Linked DNA regions of Arabidopsis thaliana. The protein of the gene in region 1 interacts with the protein of each later gene in a pairwise test. Each region holds a gene or a part of one and is shown in the gene's direction. Other genes may lie near its edges. The genes, in order: AT5G42220, AT3G53980, AGP5 and AT2G19080.

Region 1 (8,263 bases):
AAAGAGCCCCATTTAATTTCCCAGGGTTCAGTATAATGTGTGCGGGATTTGCCATGGTAATATACTTTATGTTTTTGCATTTTCTACTGAAATTCACTCAAGTTAGCCTCCATGAAACTATACAAATAAATGTCCGGTTAAACCAAGAAAGGAACGTTATCCTTTTAATTAGTTTTTACTTTCTTAGTTTTCATACTCTTATCTAATTCACAACGAATGCTGTTGTTGGTTGTGCAAAAAGGAAACTTTAAATCTTATCTAATTTCCCATGAAAAATCACTAACTCATTCAGTTCTTTTTTTTTTGGTTTAACATTTAGTTATATGACAATGTATGTGAAACATATAAACCTTTTAATTGATTCCTCAAAGTTATATGAGTTGTTCGATTACTAAGAAAAATAATATATATAATGTCCGTTACTTTGTTTTTCTTTGTAGACTATAGCTTTCATCCAAAGCCTGATGATCAGAGCAGCAACACCAATATCAGTTATGGGATCTCCATAACACAGTTTCCTCAAAACCATATGGATTTCGTAGTGAAAGATAATATACAGGTTTTAATTGCATTGGTCGAATCCTTGATGTTTTTTTTTAACCCATATTGTGTACGGGTTTATGATATCTAAAGTCAGCAAGACACCAATAGCTTGTATAGGTTAGTCAATAACTCCTAGGGGAAACACCATATTTAATGGCCGTTTCAGTTAATTTAGATATCTTCTTTCTTTTTTTGAGTTCAAAGTTAGTTTAGTTGTCTAAAGCAACAAAATAGCTCCAATATTTGTATCATTAAATTTATTTATATACATCATAATTATTTTTGTATATATAGACATAATTGAAACATGTTTTATTATAATCTATATATACATTTTTGCAGCCATTTTGTGAAATAAATCCTTTAGTTGTGACTTATTTACAATGGCTGCCACTGGATTTTAATGTTTGTTTTTGATAATTAAAAAGAAAATATTCGAATTAAATATTTGACATTTAACAATCTTCCCAAAATATCTCCACATTAACTACACGATTATTTACTAAAATAATACTTCCAAAATATTTAATATCATTTAATTACTACAAAATTATCATTTTTGATATTGATTTTCTCCATAACTATAACAATTCGATTATAATCATCAAAGCGCAGAGATATAATCTGATAGCATTTAATTACTACAAAATTACAAAATATTTAGACAATGATTCATAAACATATCATAAATAAGATCAACATTAATAAAATAAATAGTTTTTTTTTTACAGGACGGGTTTGACAGGACGATACTTAATAACATTTGTAAACTATAAAATAAAATTATTTTATAGATAGATACAATTTGTAAACTTTTATATATACTAACTTTAAAAAATAAATTGTTCCCGCGGTATACCACAGGTTAAAATCTAGTTGTTTTTGTATTTTAACTAATAATGTGGACTAAACTTTAGGTGGAATACCTTTAGTTAACGGATCCGCTTTCATGAAATTTCTACCTATATGCTTAACTGAAACCACATCATCTTGAATCCTTTCTCACACAATATGACACTCTATGTCTATATGCTTTGATTGTTCTACTTTTGTTGTTGTTTGCATATACACTGCCGCAAAATTGTCAGACTAAACTTTAAATGATCTTTCGACACATAACCAACATGTAGTGTTTTTCACAGACTGTTCAAACCTAATGAATATAGTGTTTTCCCTAACCTAATGGCCGGTGTATTCTACAATTTTGAAAGATTTGCCTGAGTGACAATAAAAAAATCTCAAGCTTGTTTCTATCTCTAATCTCTTATACTGCAAATGTTAGAACGAATACTTTGGCACGAAAAATTCGTACTGAATCGCTTCATATATGTAAACAATTTTTTCTAAAGTTGACTCATTTGAACATTAATATAATTTGATGACAAAAAATAATAAAATAATAACCATTATTAACGACAACAATAACATAGATTCGTTTCAGTTATATGTAAACCATAATCTTCATGATTAATCCAGTTATGTGTAAACTTAAATACTTAAATATTAGAAATCAAAATTACATAATAAAACAGAAAAAGAAGCACATGTTTAAAATTTATTTTAGATATGGTTAAAAAGGCCAGGCCCAGCTTTATATTATTAATAGAAGAGTCCACATTTAGAGCGGAGACTAGGCCTATATTCGCGGAAGCGTCAATTCAGGTTTTCAAAACGTCGTCGTTGTATCTTCCTCCTCTAGATTCTTCTTTTTCTTTTCAATTTCACCAAAATCCCGAGTTCCCGACACAATCGCCCTTGTTCTTCCCCTTTAACTCTGAACACATCAGGTTTGGTTTCGTGTTTCAACTTTGAGATACTTCTCTAGATTTCAATCGGAGAGTCTTTTGTTCCGCCAAAGTTTCAATTTTTCAATACCCCACGACGGCAAATAGGTTCGTTCTTCGTTGCCTTCATGGAATTTGATTGTTTTTTTCTTAAATCTTGATCCTTTTTTTCCGTATCTATAGGCTCTGTTTTTGCCTTAGCAGATTTGTTTTTGGGTTTGGACGGTGAAAGTTTTGATTTTTGAACAGTGATATTACAATGACTTGCATTTATTTGGGTCTGGGTCTTTTGTTTGTGGCTTTGGATGGTGAAAGTTTTTGATTTTTAGCATTTTTATTACAATGACTTGCATATATATAGGATTTGGTCTTTTGTTACAATGACTAGCATTTAGTTATGTCATTTGTTTGTGTCTCATTGTTGATTCTGTTTTGTATGATCAATATCTGGAAATGTGTGTGGTAAAGGTTTTGATTTGAGTACCCTAGAGATAATATTGTTTATTATGAGATCATTCTTTTGTAAGATGAATTTACAAGCTTTATGTTTTTTAAATTTTAATACTTTAGGGTTCATGGAAGATCAACCCATTAACCAGTGCTCTAGTAGCACCAATGCGTCGGAGAAAACTCCAGAATCAACCCTTGAGCTTAACATCAAAACGTTAGACTCGCGGACGTATACTTTCCAAGTGAACAAGAATGTAAGAAATCTTCTTCTTCTTCTGCTTCACCTGCATATTTGCTTAAGTTTAGTTTGCTTATATCTGATACTGCTTAGGGCTTGACTTGTTGCAGGAAACTGTTTTGCTATTCAAGGAGAAGATTGCTAGTGAGACAGGGGTGCCGGTTGGTCAGCAGCGGCTCATTTTCCGAGGACGGGTTTTGAAAGATGATCATCCTCTCTCGGAGTATCGTATCCTAGTGCTAGCGACTTTGTTAACTTGTTGATTTTATGTTATAGTGTAGCTGTTTGTTGCATTATGCCATGTGCCCTGTGTATAAAATGCATGTTAACCAAATCTGTCGGAAGTCTAGTTTTTGATTGATCAAGTGCATCTCTGCTTTTGTGAGTCTTACACCGTAGAGGAAGCTGTAATCCAGAAAGAGAACTATATATATATATATACCTTCGATAAGCTTAGTTTTAGTTTATGTCTGTCGTTTCCTTCCATCGCTTTTCTACTTTCAGTATAGTTGATAACTTGACATCGTCATAGATTTGGAAAATGGGCATACTTTACACTTGATTGTGAGGCAGCCAGCAGAATCAGCTCCTTCCTCTGGTACACCTTCACAAGGGGCAACTGCAAATGATGGTAATCAAGTTATTTTTTATCCCCTTTCTGAGTTTTAAAAGAGCTGTTAACACAACCATCATCTTATTTCAACTTGTTATTTAATTCAACAGGAAATAATACAAATGGTGGACCATCTCGAAATGGAAGACATGTCTCCCACAGCGTAGTTCTTGGGTCTTTTAATGTTGGAGATCAGACAGAAGGCATTGTTCCAGACCTCAGCCGGGTAATCCCCAAGGATTTGTGATATTGTTTGGCCTATGGGATGGTTTGATTAGTTAGGCTAACCTGCTTTTAATTTTGTGTTGCTAACTACTAAGGTCATTGGAGCAGTTCTAAATTCTTTTGGAGTTAGTGGACAGCTTCCTACAAATCACAGTACTAATGGCACGCAATCCTCTATGCCCGTGAGTTTTTTTCTCGTCACTCTCTATTTCGAATTTATTCCATATTAGTGCTTAGTCTACATTAAGGATTGTTGAGAATCAGGTGTTGTTACTATTTGATGTGTAAGGTTTCATATTGTCATCAACTATTGCCTGTTTCTAAACTCGATGTTGCATGCGCTTTTATTTTTCCTAGTCGAATCAGTCGTCTAATGCACCTCCTGGAAATACATCTGATGGAGAGCCTGGCATTGGTGGTCAAAGCCAAGCTACGGGTCATTCACAACCTAGGCAAGCATTTCCTGGTGTATCATTTCAAACATCGATGCCTCGTGTAGTTCAGATTCCTGTTACAGCAGCCACAACGATTCCTATCCCTTCATTCTTAACGGTAGTTCTTAGTCACGTAGTAGTATTTTGATCTTGAGACTAGAGCTTTAATCTTGTCATTTTACAATGTAACTCTCTAATTCTGCAGCCTATTCCGGATTCCTTAGACACTCTAATGGAGTTCATTAATCGGATGGAGCAGGCATTATCACAAAATGGTATTGTGATCTAAGTTTTATTGTCATATTGGATAGAGAACACATAAATAAGTTAATTGGATGTTCCTCCAGGCTATCAGCCAGATACCTCTTCTGCTGGATCCGGAGGGCGACCAAGGGAAGAGTTGCCTAGAAATAGACGAGGTGCAGCAACACCTGAAGCACTCTCTGTTGTCCTAAGGAATGCACAACATTTACTGAGTGGTCTCGGTGTCTCTTCTTTATCGGTAAACACCTTCTTCACACTGCTTATTAATTGATTCCATTCTTTCTCTTTACAAGAACTGTTATGTATATGGTTACCATGCATTGTCATCTAATTATGTGCTGTTTGTAATTTGCAAAAACATTGTTGTAGCATATTGCGGGACGTCTGGAGCAAGATGGTTCATCTTCAGATCCTACTCTAAGGTCACAAATCCAGACAGAGGCCGTGCAAGTAGGTCTTGCCATGCAACATTTAGGGGCCCTCCTACTGGAGCTTGGACGCACAATTTTGACATTGAGAATGGCACCGTCGCCGGTGCGTTTTGGGTCATTCCTTTCGTGCATTTTCCTATTCATTCTTGACATGCGGCTCATTAACACTTTGATCTACAGGAATTATCCTATGTGAATGCAGGGCCTGCTGTGTATATATCTCCATCAGGACCGAATCCTATTATGGTTCAGGTAAGCTTCTAGTCTCATCTTTTTTCTAAATTAATTTTCTACTTTTATGTAATTATTACTGTATTTTGCAGCCTTTTCCTCACCAAATCAGCCCTCTCTTTACTGGTGCTACTGTCTCATCAAATCCACTAACCGGACCTGTTGGTTTAGGAACTGCCCAAAGGCACATTAATATTCACATACATGCTGGTGGGTGAAGTTCACTTTTTTGCTATTGGACTTAGCTGCACAATTCTTCTCCATTAAAATTCATACTTAATTACCAGGCACATCAGGTTCACCTATGTTGTCATCAGTTGGGAACCAGCGAAGCAATGGAGAAGGAGGACAAGGAGACCGTGACAGCAATACAAGTTCAGTTCCTGCGGCTGTTCCATCACACTCTACCGGTGAGAACGTTTCTGCTGGGGTTCAACCTGGTTTGGGTGATGATGTTTCAGTTGCTCAAATCAATGCAAGGATAAGAGATATGGTAAACATTATGCAAGGAAGAGACCAGATTCCATCGGGTAGGTTTCCTGCTGACTAAAGTTTTACATTGTGGACGAAATGTTTTCAAGCTCTTCTTCACGTGTCAATCAGGAATAGAATCTCTCGAGAGGGATATGTCTACGGGCCATGGTGTTGCCACTGCTATGCCTGAGCAGCCTACCAACATTGCAACTACTTGCGCACCTGAGTCGTCTAGTGGCTCACTGCATGACTTACCATCTGAGAGGAGCAACTCAGTGGTATGTCTTCTCTGCAATCAGATGATTCTTTATTTTATGTTCACCAGGGTTAGCCTACCACTAATTTTTGTTTTTTCAACCAGTGTCAAAATGAAAAAGATCTTGGTGGAGATTTAGAGCATCCAGCCCGAGCAAAAGATACCTCTTGTACTACAGGACAATCATCAGCTCCGTCTGGAGATGCTACCGGTGATGCCAAAGAAACCAATAAGGCTACTCCAGAGGTAGCTACAGCTACACCACTTGGATTGGGGCTTGGCGGTTTAGACCGTAAGGTAATGAATCAGTTGAAAAATAAGCGTCAAGTTGCTGCTGCTTGTTTTTCATTGCATAGCATATCCACAAGTGTCATAGTTCCAAATGCTTACAGTCATAGTATGTTTTTTTTGGTTAAAGAAACGAAGCAAGCAGCCGAAGGTATCAGGTAAGACTGAAGATAGCGGGACTTCAGCTACACTTGAAGGTGTGCAACAAAGCAGTGGGACCAGTGGTCAGCAGCTTTTGCAATCTCTCTTTTCTGGTAGTTCTCGTTCAGATGAGACTGGTCTTAGACGCGGGCAAGGTTCAGATGATCGTGTAGATGTCTCAAGTGCAATGTCTCAGGTCCTGGAGAGCCCTGTATTGGATGGATTGCTAGCAGGGGTATCTCGACAAGCTGGTGTTGATTCACCAAATATGCTGAGAAATATGCTCCAGCAGTTTACCCAGAATCCACAGATCATGAACACAGTCCAACAGATTGCGCAACAGGTGGATGGGCAAGAGATAGAAAATATGATGTCAGGTGGAGCTCAAGGCGAGGGCGGCGGCTTTGATTTCTCTAGAATGGTCCAACAAATGATGCCTCTAGTCTCACGTGCTTTTAGCCAAGGAGGGCCATTGCCTCATCCCGCAACAATACAGCCTGATGATCGTCAACCTTCTCAGGTACATCTACGAGTGTTAGGTTTGGATTTCTTGCGTTTTTGATTTAGGAAAAAAATGTGGCTGAAGAAAAACTGATACTATTATCGACTGAGTAGGATTTTGTTGTTGTCTTTTTTTAGTTGTAGAAAAAGTAACACCATTCTTACCTAGGTATTACAATAAACGTCATTGTCTCTTGTTCTATCTCGTGTAATGAATGTTATTTTTCTACTTTTTCCAAATAGGTAAATGTTCAATCCATGGCTCAAATGATTGAGCACTCTGATCCACCAGAGGATGTCTTCCGTGCAATGGTCGAAAATGCTGCGATAAGCCAAGACGAACTAGTGAACGAGCTTTGCTGTGATGAAGCTCTTTCTCAAGTAAGCATCAAAACTGACTAGTTTGTTTGTTTAATAAAAATAAAGACTCCTTGATCAGACTTGTATTTGAGTGTTGCAGGAATATGCGGAGTTGCTAAGACGTGATATCGAAGGCCGGCTAAAAGATGATCAAGGTCTATAAGATATTTGGTTGAATTGGTTCTGTAAGTGTCATATCTTTGAAGTATCTTTGTTTATTTGCTGAGATCCCTCACTTATGTATTAAGAATTAGGGTTTGGGATGGTCTATACTCTGCTAAACATAAGCAAACGTAATTTATCTGGTCTCTAAAGGGCCGATTCAATTTGATATTTCCATCTTTAACCAGAGATTACTCATAACTCTCGACATTGACCAAATTACTTGGGAAAAAGGTGTCCCTTTATAACTGACAATTTTGGTTTTGATCGAAAATTTGGCTAAAGGGCTACACTAACGAGTGACTGTAGCAAATTATATATTTAGTTTAATTCCTTAACAAATAGGTAATAAAGATTGCACAATAAATATGGAATGTAAACTAATAAATAGTAGAATAATTCAGAAAAATGAACTGTCACGACAACCCCAATAATAAGATGTTATATATTATTTAATTTTTATAAAAAATTATATATTATAAAATTTACTATGAATTTTTAATATGTTTAAAATTACAAAGTTGTTGTGTTTGTTTTGTTGTACAAATTTATAATTTTGGATTATGACAAATTAATAATATTGTTTTATTTTATATTTAATTTCTAAAAGATTATTAAAATTTGTTTTATGGTTTTACGTATTCAAGGGTTGTGAACAATTGATCACCACCGGAAAAATTAAGGATGACGACAAAATTGAACTAAAACATCATGGGTTCAGAGATTTTCAAGATCAGCGAGCCATGACTTAGCGACATCGGAGATCATGAACATTCCTAAGACAAGCTGTCTTTTGTGATGAGTTTTGCAAATAATTGTTTCATCGCTAATTTTTCTTACTTATGACTTTTCTAGAGTGAAAAAGACT
Region 2 (3,376 bases), on another chromosome or scaffold:
AAAACGCTCGTTACCTAATTTAAGGCAATGTTTAATACCAATGGCTTTGATTTTGAATCCGTGGTTTAATTTATTAAACCATCTCGCTTTACTTTGAACAATTTTGGTTGACAAATTATTTTTGTCTTTTTGGTCTATCTAATTAAACATATATACTTTTGAGGAATATGGTAAATTCAAAATTTTGATGACAATTACTTCTCAACGAAATGGATAAGGTCTAGTTGAAAATGACAATGGTAGGTTTTAGATTTAGCTTTAGCTATGGATTAGGTTTTAGGTTTAGCTTTAACTTTGAATTTTGTCTTTATTTCATAATTAAGAAAAAAACAAACATTTAAGATTGTGGTTACACCTTTGTTTTTAGCACACTTGTCTTTTTTTTTTTTTTTGAATAAACACTTGTCTTTGATTTATTCTTGATATTTTTAACGTAACAATTATCATTGGTAATCTTTTAGTGATGAATTCTTCTAAACTTTAATCTTTTGGTCTAAGTGAAATATCTAGTGACTAATAATTGAAAATAATGAAACAGGATAATAATGGGAAGCGTGAGCAGCTTTGTGATCCAACACGCGCCTTGCCCTGTCACCGTTGTCAAGGATAACGAATAAACGATTCTCACTACAAAAAAAAAAAAAAAAAAAAACTGTCTTTATCTTATAAGTCCTACCAAATAATCATCGCAATTTATGCTTTTTAGTTTTTATTAATAAAAGAATCTTTATGTTGGTTTTATTTGTAATTTGACTACAACAAAAAAAGAACCCAGAGTGTTTTCATCTTCTAGTTTTGAGAGTTTCTTGCTTATTTGTTTCATTTAATATTCCTTGTGTTTTGCTGGAATCACTCCATGTGATTTGCTTGAACATGTGGTGGGCTCGATTAAAAATAGTTTGTATATCCAATATATTGCTTAAAAATAAGTTTGTGGTACAGATTTCACATGGGCAGGTTGGATTCATTCACATTGATCATTGACTAAATATTAGAATATTTCTTAAGGAAAAATTCTACAGAAAGATATTTACATCAAATATTAATATTCTACTTTTTTTTTAATAAATAGATAGATCACCGTGGTAATTATATTTATTTATTTTGCACGATCCATTTCGAAATCTGATAAAACTTACTAGAAACAGAGACCCAAGACAAATCGTAGAAAGTTTAGAAGATCATCAAGACAGAAGAAGAAAAACAACAAAGTAAAGTGAAATATCAGAACCATGGGCCGAAGTTATACGGGCCGGTGGGATTGAAACCCAATTTCTAGTTTCAACGGAAACAGAGCAAAAACTTTATCAACATTACTAAGAACGCAATCCGCTTCTGTAACGAACCCAACTAAACCATTAACCGATTTTGTTTAGTCCTTGAATTTGATTTACCTTAGTTTATGCCAAACCCTCTGCCCAAATCTTGGTCTTTCAACACAATAGATAGACAGAGCCAGTCTCACAGTTGTCTGTCTCTCTTTGGTTTTCATCCTCTATGCTCTTTATACTTATGTAATTAACTTGTGGTACAAGGTTTTTGACTTGAATAAATTCGAGCTTCTTCTCAGAAGGTCTAACATATTCAATTCTCCTATAAGGCTAAAACACAGTGTTGGACCATCTTAGTGATACTAAGCATCCAAGATTCAAAGTTGTTAAATAGAGATCAAGAATGTTTCATCCGTTTCACTTCACATTAACCAATAATAATAAAAAAATCAATACAAAACTCATTTTTAATCTACCCCATTAGCACCATTTTAAAAGCCATAAGGACGGTGATGACACAACTCCCACAAATCCACCATCCGATTTGATAATCCCAAATAAGAATTATGAGGTTTGTTCAGTGATCCCTAAGACATCAACACCTGGAACTTATGTTGTTGGTAAGAACACTACCTCCCTCACTCAACTCAAGTGCTTATTCCACTATCTCTTCAGTGCCTCAAATTTCCACACAATTTTCCGCTATATAAACCAAACATTCACTAATTGAATTCAAACACACAACTAACAAACAAAAAAACACAAATCTTGGTTCATTTAAAATCTCTCCAAGAAACAAAATGGCAGCTTCCATGAAATTTCTCTGCATTCTTGGTCTGATTCTCCTCATCGGAACAGTCGTTGACGGTGCAGGGGAGTGTGGTAGATCTTCGCCAGACAATGAGGCGATGAAGCTGGCTCCATGTGCTGGTGCAGCTCAGGACGCTAACTCCGCCGTGCCAGGAGGTTGCTGTACTCAGATTAAGAGATTTTCTCAAAACCCTAAATGTCTCTGCGCCATTCTTCTTTCCGACACGGCCAAAGCCTCCGGTGTCGATCCTGAGGTTGCCCTTACCATCCCTAAACGGTGCAATTTCGCTAACCGTCCCGTCGGTTACAAGTGTGGAGGTAAGTGACTTTCTGTTACATCTTTATATTATGCTTTTACTTAATAATTTTCATGATATATCTAATGTTCTTTGTTTCTTTTTTTCCCTTTGGTTATAGCATACACACTTCCATAAAATGTTGACGATTAGAAGGATGAAGGAGATAACATTGGGCCTTATGTGGAAGCTTGGAGTTTACTACTACGTCTCCATGTACCTTATAATATATGAATAACGATAATGTTTATATGTGTATCAGTGTGATTGTTGTTATTGAACCTATATCAATAAATATATAAAAATGATTCCACTCTACATTTCAAATTACAGAAACACAAGTATCCAACTTTGTGCTTGAAAATTTGACATTGTTTAAACTAGTGTCGTTTTGGCAAACACTAGTACGACTTAGTTTACAAGTCAGATCTATCACCAATATATACTCATCTAACACGAAGCAATAAGAGATGATGCTATAGTTTTCAATTTCTCAAATATAGTCAAGCCATTGTCTATAATCTATATGACGACCGATTCTGACTTGGCCAACGGAAATTTAAAAGCGAAATAAACCAAGTCTTTATTTATATATTTATTGAAGTTATAAAAAGTGTGCTGGGGAATAAAACCAACAACACCACCAAACAAAAAAACAGCTGAGAAAAAACAAACCACATAGATCCTATTGTCTATATGTAGTTACTACCATACTTTAAGTTGTGCACACACTTTCTCTATTTCCTTGGCGATGGCTTTACTTTACTATATAAAATCTGAACCGCCGGGAAAATGCTCGAGGTCTGGATGCCCACCTCCTGGCCCTCTTGGAGGTTGTCTACACACGATTGATATAAAGAAGAATCAGAACCATTTGCGAAACAGATTATGATTGTGGAGTGTAGTAAGGAGACTACTGAGTGCATAAGATTACTACCTTGTGAACCGGCCTGGCTCAAAACCTGGAACACCGGGTGGACCATAAGGATCAAAACGCGC
Region 3 (3,368 bases), on another chromosome or scaffold:
ATTGGCTTTTGTTACTTCATTTACGCGAACATTAGATCGTTCTTCGAAATGTCGTCACCTTTCTTTTGCTGACCTATAAGATTTCGTTTTTGGGTCAGCTTGTCATACTTATCGTTTCGTCTTTTAGTAGGTCTTCTTGGTAATACGTTACATCGTATATTATTGCTGTCTAGACTTTATCTCACGACTTCTTAGCATAATTGTTACTAATTTCTGTCTTCCCTTCTTAAAGTAGCTTTCTTGGTTACTTTTGAAGCTCTCTCAAAACAATAGAAGGTAGGAGACTTTTTCGTATCTTGACTAAATGTATATTCAAGATGTTCACTCTTGTTTTTACTGAAGCCTAACTGCCTAAATAGTTGACCACAAACATTGTATCGACGATACTAGAGTAACATTTGGTTCAAAATGTGTTGTTGAAATCGTTTTCGAAGAGACGTATTAACGACCTAAAGTAATGTATAAAAACTTGAGTTGAAAAGTCGAATTTGGTTCAACTTACAGTGGACTAACCCGAAAGTATTTTTTGTTACTTATATAATTATAGTTGTTCTAATTCGCTTGATGGTGGGACGGTTAATATATAATTGACACCAAACATATAAGAATTTTTGAAAAATTGCAATAACAACAAAGGCATTAGTTGCATACAATACAATGTTCAAATTATGCATTGAAAATTTGAAACAAATATACGTTAAATAGAACAGAGATCTTCTAAGAATAGTTGCAAGCCTTTAAATACTCCGACAAATCTGGCATTAGCCGAAAGATATTCCAAACTCAAAATCGGATCAGATAGTGTGGTGGTCTAATTTTACCTGGATCGGGAGATGTCCACTCTGTACCACCTTGATGCATTTTTACTGATACTGATCAGATCAACCGATATAATATATATATAAAAAAAGAAAGTTCGTCCAAAAGGAATCATTATTTTCTTAACCAATAGAATATAGGAAATAATAGGATAAATCTATATTAGTGGACAGGTAATAGAATGCTTTCATTCACATTGAAATCATATTGTAATAAGCACACTTTTCTTATCAAAAAAAAAAAGGCAAAAAGAAATGGCCACGCAATAAAATCATTAGGGTAAGTTGAATTTTGGTCCATAATATTATAAATTAATTTAATCTCGAAAGCTTAATCTTATGATCTCATGTGATCTTTATTGAATTTACTTACTTCCATAGAGTTTTGTATTTTGTCTAAGGAAAGAAAAAAAAAGTCTGCCAGCTTTGGAACGCCGCCCATTCCTCTAGACTTTCTTGGAAACAACGCGTTGTTCTTGTTGGGGTCGACGAAGACTCACTAAATCCATCCGACGACTCAGATTTTATCTTGGCTTCTTTTGATGTGTACACATATCCACCCTGATTTGATTCCCAAAGCCAAAAGCCTGAACAATGTAGTGTAGAAGAAGTGACGGGAAAAAACGGTAATGAATCCACAATGGATATTTACAGAAAGAAATAAAATTATATAGATTATAGAGAAGCAAAATTATGCAAATAATCTTTATTTAATACTATTAAAAGAGTAGCTGTTGGAAACTATAACAGGTAATTTAAAATATTTTACAAGTTCAACATATAATAATTTTGAAATTCAGTCCAACATAACTATCAGTATGGAAATAAGCCAAACAAATTACTCAAAATAAGAAATATGTTTTCACATTATTATTTAAACATTTTTAGTCATTTGTTTGGCTTATTTCCAAAACGATATTTATGTTGGACTTGTTTTCAAAAGTATTATGTTGAACTTGTAAAAAAAATTTATATAGCTGTTGAAATTTCCAAGAAAATAAGGTTTTACACCTAAACCCTTCCACTATATATATAAACCCCACTTTTGTCTCTATATCTTTACTAATTTCTTAAACCCTCTCAACAATACGTAACAATGGCCTCCAAATCCGTCGTCGTTTTCCTCTTCCTCGCTCTCGTGGCTTCCTCTGTCGTTGCTCAAGCTCCCGGACCAGCTCCGACCATATCTCCCTTGCCAGCCACTCCTACACCGTCTCAATCGCCTAGAGCCACCGCACCGGCACCTTCACCATCAGCCAATCCTCCTCCCTCAGCTCCTACCACTGCTCCTCCGGTTAGTCAGCCGCCTACTGAATCTCCACCAGCTCCTCCGACGTCTACTTCCCCATCCGGAGCTCCGGGCACAAATGTTCCGTCTGGAGAAGCTGGACCTGCTCAGTCTCCCCTAAGTGGCTCTCCAAACGCAGCTGCAGTTAGCAGAGTCTCCCTCGTCGGAACTTTCGCCGGAGTGGCCGTGATCGCCGCTTTGTTGCTGTAGAGGCTATTGACCCATCGAATAGATTCACTAGGAATTATTTTTGGGTTCATTGTTTGTCCTTTTGTTACTATTTAATTATGTAGTTTATAGTGTTTTATATGATGCTTTATTATCGTGTTATTGTTGGTGTTATATTTGTTACAATTTTTTTATAGTTTCCTTGATTATTGGCATTCTTGAATAATTCATGGTCACTTGAATAATTCATAGTTACTTGAATATTAACTTAAAATTAAAATTACATGCTAAATTGGTGGGTGGTGATGTTATTAAGATTTAAGAGTGGTTAATGAAAAGATTATGAAAGTGAAGTGATTAGCGACAACGTGTATATGCGTCTAGAATGGAGCATTTAATTTGTCGTGTGATGTAAGTTGATCGGTGTCGGACCGTTTCTTTTCTTCTTGTCTTCGTTTCCAATAAATATAGGTCAAGATCAAAACATTGACCCTTTCGTACTCGTTCGAGACTATAGTTTTAGAAATTGCAATGTAAATTAGTTTATTTTTGAAATTAATATAAGTATTTCATGATGATGGGAACTACGAAAAATAGAAAATACAATTACTGATATGAGTTAATTGAACCAATTATGATAACCATTTGTTGTATCTATGCCTTTGTTTAATTAAGCGTTAAATACAAACTAATACTGTATAATGTTTTTCTTGTTTACTACGTGAATTTTTTCATGCTTGTTCCAAGTTCGAAATACCATTTGTACAAATAAGAAGACAAGTCAAAGCAATGATTCTTGTGCTAGCTTTTTCACTGTACATGACATCCATATTTAACAAATAACAATCCTTAAAATTTAGCAATTAGAATATAGATCATATAAATATACTAGGGAACGACCCAGGCTATGTATTTAATCAAAAGTATTTCAAACGTAAATTATAACTCGTATATGTATTCGTACAAAGAATGTCAAATACAAAATATCACAAAAAATAAAGTATTTAGTCAGTTAAGCTCTAATCAACACAAATAAGTATATATATATATATATATATATATATATATATATAATTATATATATATATATATAT
Region 4 (5,297 bases), on another chromosome or scaffold:
TCATAAAAGAGTCGTTTTGACGGTCTTTTGACACGAATTCTAAGATAAACAAATTACAATATTTTGTAATATTTTTGAATTGAAAAAAATTAATAAATAAATAATATATATAATTGGAATATAAAAGTAATGAACAAAATCATAATTTTTGTTTAGAGGACTAAATTAAATTTTGAAGAAGTGTATTCAAATTCACAAAACAAACAAAATTTCTATGGATAGTAATAGAAAAGAAAGAAAAAACACGTACCTGAGGTGCTTGCTGCGACCACGTCAAGAGTAGCATTGCCGAAGTAGCCGCGTGGCAGAGGTGGCTCCATCCGACTACGAGTATCTATACAGATTCCTAGAGCCGTTGGTTGCTCCGGAGAGTGGCCACGTGCTTTACACGCGCACCTCCACACGTGTCCGGTGACGGTCTCGTACCTTGTAAACCCTTTCGCCGGGTCAGAGTGTTTGCTTCCGTTGGCTTTACTTCGTAGCTTCTGCAGCTGAGATGTGCTCAGTGGTAGCATCACCACAATCGTTTTCTTCTTTCTCTCTTCTACATTGTCCGTTTCTCCGATCAAAAACGGTGGCTGATCAAACTCTTTGTGGTCGAACTTTGGGGGCGACACAAACGGTGGGAGCGGTTCACCAGCCCAGAGGATTTTCCGGTCTAGAAATGGAACGGTTTCTAACGGTTCACCGCGCGCGAGTCTTCCCCATTCCGATATTAAGTGAAGCGCGCTTTGGCCATCTACGATCGCGTGGGAAACGTTGACGCTAAGGCTTATTCCACCGCATTTGAATTTGGTTACCTGAGCTAAAAATAGAGGAATCGTTTCGATAGGGTTTTTATAGTTTACTTGCGGCATAAGATTCTCGAATTCCGGCGTAGGAGAGAAGTCTTTGAAATCCGAAAGCTTCCCCTCAGATTCCGCTTCAATGAATTCCACTCCCTCGGCGTTACAATTGAGCTCGAACCGTCCCCGAGGGAGCCATCTGAGACGGCCAGCCATAGGGTAAAAATGGACTAGCACACGGCTCAACGAGGTTTTTAGGATTTCGACTACATTGCCTTGGAAAGATTCAGATGGCTTGTCGTAAAAGTAAAGGGTGGGAATGTGAGTAATTGTACCAACTTGATCCCACTCGGCTAAGGGAAACCTACCGCTCCACGTTGGTTCGGCCGGTACTATAGTGTAAGATTTTCTAAAAGTTATGGGAGCCATAACACAAACCCCCTTTCTTTTTCTCTTCTCTTTTTGAAGTTCGTGCTAAAGTAATGTTTATATAGTACACAGAATCATATGGATTCAACGAATTTTTCTTGCTGTTAGTCAAAATTCAAAAATGTTTTTCTCGTGGTTTAGTTTGTTTCCTTCGAAGCAGCTTAATTAGTGGAAGTGAGAATAAGGTTTAGTTTTGTTGGTTGTATATGATCACGCGTATTACCCTTCTTCTCTATTTTGTTCACATTGTGGATGAATATATATTTCCACGAAAAAATGAAAAAAAACGAGGTAAGAACATATAACATAAAATTCATATCACTATTAGGGAATGTGTTATACTTTTTTATGCAAGTATATTCCAAAGTATAAATTCTAAACTAAATCCTTAAGTATATATCATAAACTCTAAAAAGAAATGGTAAATCCAAAATACTAACTTCATAGCATTAAATTCAAAAGCCCACATCGCCAGTTTTGATTATATCTTCTGAATTTAAGTTGAGTTTATTTTTATAAAGTCATCTTGAAGAAAAAAAATGTGGATGATGTATTTTACACTGTTACACAGTAATTTTAGTTTTTACAAACTAACAAAAAGGAGAAAACAATTCCACTTTCTCCGAGTCTCCTCCTCCAGTAGTTTTGTCTTAATGGGTAATTTGTGGGCCTTTTAAAGCCCAAAATGAGTTATCGTATTAATAAACCCTAGTTTTAAACCCGACCGACTAAACCTTAACCCAGACCCGGACTCGACTGGATCTTCTCTTCTCGCCCCATCTCTCTCTATCGACGATCGAACTTACTTGAGTACTTCTTCTTCTTTTGACCAGAGCTCTCACACATACGAGTCACTATAATGGAAGGCGATCAAGAGACGAATGTTTATACTTTGGTGGCAAGGAAGCCTTCCTTCGATCTCCCAACAGCTTGCCCTAATTGTCTTCCTGCTTATATATACCTGAAATTAGCCCAGCTACCTTTTGAACTTGCGTTCAATTCAACCTTCCCTGATTCAGGTTTGCTTCTGTTTTGATTCCTCGCTTCGTATTTTGGTTGTTGTTAGATTAAGGTTTTGGTTGCGTGATGTGTATCTGTTGGAAGTGAACATTGTTAATTCTATTAGCTTGAATTGAGATTCGAATCCTAGACAAGATAATTTTGAGTTCTGGATTCGAATTCGTACTATTAAGATCCTGCTCTTAGGTTAATCAGAGTTTAGATAGGGTTTTTAGGCAATAGTAATTCAATTTTGAGGTGTATATATGCATTGGTGAATTTTTCTGGATAGGAAGTGTTCATCATAATTTCTTGTTATAGCTTTGGTTGAATTCCTCGTTATCGTAATTGTTAATTCGAAGAGAATGATGATGTTTCATACTTGTTCAGAAGAAATTAGTTGTTTGATTTAGCTATTGAGTTTGTATATTAACAATATCTTCAGAATTTCTATGTTATGTTTGATAATATCTCTAGACACTTCGTAATCCTTTGTTCACGGATTTACAAATTTGTGCATTCAATATTTATAAGCTTGTGTATTGACAATGTTAATCATTTGTTTTTAATATAGATGAACTGCCGTACTTTGAAAGTGATACATATGTTGCATATAACAATGAAGATGGAGGAGTAATTGAAAAACTGAAGAAAGATGGGATTGTTAATCTGGACTCTCAGCTACAGTCTCTTTCGGATTATTTATCTTTGAAGGCTCTTATTGTGTCTTGGCTAGAAGAAGCGCTTACCTATGAGATATGGGTTGGTACCGAGGGGATATCTACATCGAAAATCTACTATTCAGATCTTCCTTGGGTGATCAGCAAGGTCCTGTTTTATAAGCAGACATACTTGGCAAAGAACCGTTTAGGAATCACCAAAGAGAACGCAGAGCAAAGAGAAAAACAGGTCGGGTTTGTTTAAGTTTTGTTGTTACTTTAGAAGACCTGTGGTTTATATTTGTGAGCATTTGAACTAGTTATTAAAGTTCATAGTCTTAAATGTGAACAGATATACAAGAGAGCAAGTGAGGCATATGAAGCTTTGTCGACTAGGTTAGGTGAGCAGAAGTTTCTCTTTGAAGACAGGTATTGCAATCACATTCCGGAACTGGATTCTTTCCCTTAAGCCTTTTTGTAAAAGATTGACAATGTTTATATTATTCTCTTCCCACAGGCCATCGAGTTTGGATGCTTTCTTACTCTCGCACATACTTTTTATAATCCAAGCGTTACCAGTGAGCAGCTTTAAATTTCACCAATATATTTCTCAGTTATGGGTTTATCAGGTTGAATTTAGCCTTAGAACTATTTAGATGAAGTAGTTTTCTTAATGGTGCATGATCAGGTTACATCAGTGCTTCGGTGCAAACTTCTGGAACATAGTAATCTTGTGCGATATGCTGAGAAACTTAAGTCAGAGTTCCTTGAAGCCTCTTCTTCATCTCCTTCACCTCCACTTCACTCATTCCCTTCCTCATTTCCAAGAAAGAGTAAGACACATCTAACCTTCAACGTCCATATCATATATATTTCATCATATTATATATCTGTCATATATGCAACATTCATTGGATATGTTTAAGCCTGTGAAGGAAGTGAATTTCATCTTTTGTTCAGGTTCGAAGCCAAAGAGCAAACCAAAGGTAGAAAAGACCGAAGAGGAGAAAAAATTTAAGAAAAGAGCAAGGTTCTTTCTAGCTGCTCAGTTTCTAGCTGTCGTCATTTACGTATCAGTGATGGGAGGAGGTAGTTCTGATGAACTGGAGTATGAAGATGAAGATGACTAAACTAAAGCTTTTCTTATTAAATGGACCGGTAACTCTCAGGCGAACTCTCTGAGACTAAGATAAAAACATAACCAGTAATCTCTACGCTTTTTTCTTCTTGAACTCTTAGTTATGGAGAGGATACAGATGTGAGATTTAGTCACATTATAATGGTTTTCGACTTTTCGTTCTGAAGGAGAGCTTTTGGCTTTTATATAAATTTCATTGGTTTTTAAGGCACATCATGGGAACCGATTCACCGGATAAAATACCGAGGAACATTAGAAGACTCTTGGTACACATCCTCAGAATCAACTGAACTAACTCTATTTGTCTTACTAAATAATACAAATCTCATCCATCTAAGAAACTATCTTCTGATAGCAAAAGATGATGCCAAAAACCTACCTAATTCTAAACTCTCTAAAACCAAACAAAATTAATAACAAGTACTAGGAATTGAAATTTACATCCGGGGGCTGCTGCTCCGACGCATCGTCTGCTGGTTGGCTAACAAGCTTCGAGTGTTCATCGGCCGAGTTGATGGAAAACTCAGCTAGTGAACTAACTGCAACAGACATTCCATGGCAGAGAACCTTCACAGCAACCTCTGCAAGTTTCTCAGCAGTCATCACAACATCTTCTTCTCCCTTATCAGCCACTACAAGCTCCATGCTTTCTGACCCGGAGTATCTCCTTGACCCGCTTCCACTCCAGTTTGGATCTTCCCTAACTTGCCTTGCATATATTGAACCCATCCCTGAGGCAAAGAACTCAAGTTTGTCCAAAACTGGTTTTTCATTCAAGCTGTTAAGCAACCTTGACCATTGAATGCAGACTCGGTATATCGGGTGAAGACATGAGGATAATCTAACTTTTTCGGGGTCAGGATCACATCTGAAACATCTTAGAAGCCAACCAGATAATGCTTTCATGTAGGATCTCTGAGAGGTGATCCAGAATTCAAAACAGGTTCTCCAGTTTCGAAGCTGAGCTTCAAGATTCAAAGCAGATTGAGCTAATCTTTGAGAGTTAATAGCCTCTGGCATTATTGGAGGTTGTCTCTTCTTGTGACGCTTTGAAACCGGTGTGCCTGCAAGTAACAGTTTGGCTTCGTCTAGTGTTCGTTTCTGTATCTGGTGACTTTCCGCCATTACTTTCCACATCCTTGTTAATCTGTTATGATCATGATTACCATTTGTCAGTCTGAGGCTTAAAAGTGAAACCGAAGAGAAGGAAAAAGAAGTTGTTGGTGTTGTTACCCTTCAACGAGCTCAAGAAGCTGAGGCAACAGTTCTTGGTCACGAAGAGTCTCG

What was found.
Region 2: the proteins of AT5G42220 (region 1) and AT3G53980 interact in a two-hybrid assay, tested with the Arabidopsis thaliana proteins (one large-scale study listed by BioGRID).
Region 3: the proteins of AT5G42220 (region 1) and AGP5 interact in a two-hybrid assay, tested with the Arabidopsis thaliana proteins (one large-scale study listed by BioGRID).
Region 4: the proteins of AT5G42220 (region 1) and AT2G19080 interact in a two-hybrid assay, tested with the Arabidopsis thaliana proteins (one large-scale study listed by BioGRID).

Annotation. Positions count from the first base shown.
Region 1 is NC_003076.8:16,870,060-16,878,322, forward strand, and holds the start of AT5G42220 (Ubiquitin-like superfamily protein), read left to right. Parts: upstream 1-2,178; 5' UTR 2,179-2,435; intron 2,436-2,897; 5' UTR 2,898-2,902; coding exon 2,903-3,031; intron 3,032-3,125; coding exon 3,126-3,243; intron 3,244-3,547; coding exon 3,548-3,646; intron 3,647-3,738; coding exon 3,739-3,854; intron 3,855-3,948; coding exon 3,949-4,035; intron 4,036-4,210; coding exon 4,211-4,405; intron 4,406-4,492; coding exon 4,493-4,562; intron 4,563-4,634; coding exon 4,635-4,789; intron 4,790-4,920; coding exon 4,921-5,085; intron 5,086-5,162; coding exon 5,163-5,234; intron 5,235-5,305; coding exon 5,306-5,423; intron 5,424-5,500; coding exon 5,501-5,743; intron 5,744-5,816; coding exon 5,817-5,965; intron 5,966-6,048; coding exon 6,049-6,240; intron 6,241-6,361; coding exon 6,362-6,892; intron 6,893-7,116; coding exon 7,117-7,254; intron 7,255-7,333; coding exon 7,334-7,396; 3' UTR 7,397-7,418; exon of another isoform or gene 7,419-7,673; intron 7,674-8,042; and 1 more. Other genes in the region: AT5G42210 (Major facilitator superfamily protein), read left to right, coding at 1-56, 441-509.
Region 2 is NC_003074.8:19,986,899-19,990,274, reverse strand, and holds AT3G53980 (Bifunctional inhibitor/lipid-transfer protein/seed storage 2S albumin superfamily protein), read left to right. Parts: upstream 1-1,811; 5' UTR 1,812-2,071; coding exon 2,072-2,399; intron 2,400-2,498; coding exon 2,499-2,515; 3' UTR 2,516-2,713; downstream 2,714-3,376. Other genes in the region: AT3G53990 (Adenine nucleotide alpha hydrolases-like superfamily protein), read left to right, coding at 539-617; AT3G53970 (proteasome inhibitor-like protein), read right to left, coding at 3,143-3,215, 3,315-3,376.
Region 3 is NC_003070.9:12,915,270-12,918,637, forward strand, and holds AGP5 (arabinogalactan protein 5), read left to right. Parts: upstream 1-1,800; 5' UTR 1,801-1,914; coding exon 1,915-2,316; 3' UTR 2,317-2,560; downstream 2,561-3,368. UniProt on the Arabidopsis thaliana protein: Proteoglycan that seems to be implicated in diverse developmental roles such as differentiation, cell-cell recognition, embryogenesis and programmed cell death.
Region 4 is NC_003071.7:8,260,745-8,266,041, forward strand, and holds AT2G19080 (metaxin-like protein), read left to right. Parts: upstream 1-1,955; 5' UTR 1,956-2,073; coding exon 2,074-2,233; intron 2,234-2,787; coding exon 2,788-3,122; intron 3,123-3,224; coding exon 3,225-3,301; intron 3,302-3,389; coding exon 3,390-3,450; coding exon of another isoform or gene 3,451-3,528; exon of another isoform or gene 3,529-3,560; coding exon 3,561-3,705; intron 3,706-3,832; coding exon 3,833-4,002; 3' UTR 4,003-4,394; downstream 4,395-5,297. Other genes in the region: SHT (spermidine hydroxycinnamoyl transferase), read right to left, coding at 251-1,214; AT2G19090 (DUF630 family protein (DUF630 and DUF632)), read right to left, coding at 4,434-5,157, 5,244-5,297. UniProt on the Arabidopsis thaliana protein: Involved in transport of proteins into the mitochondrion.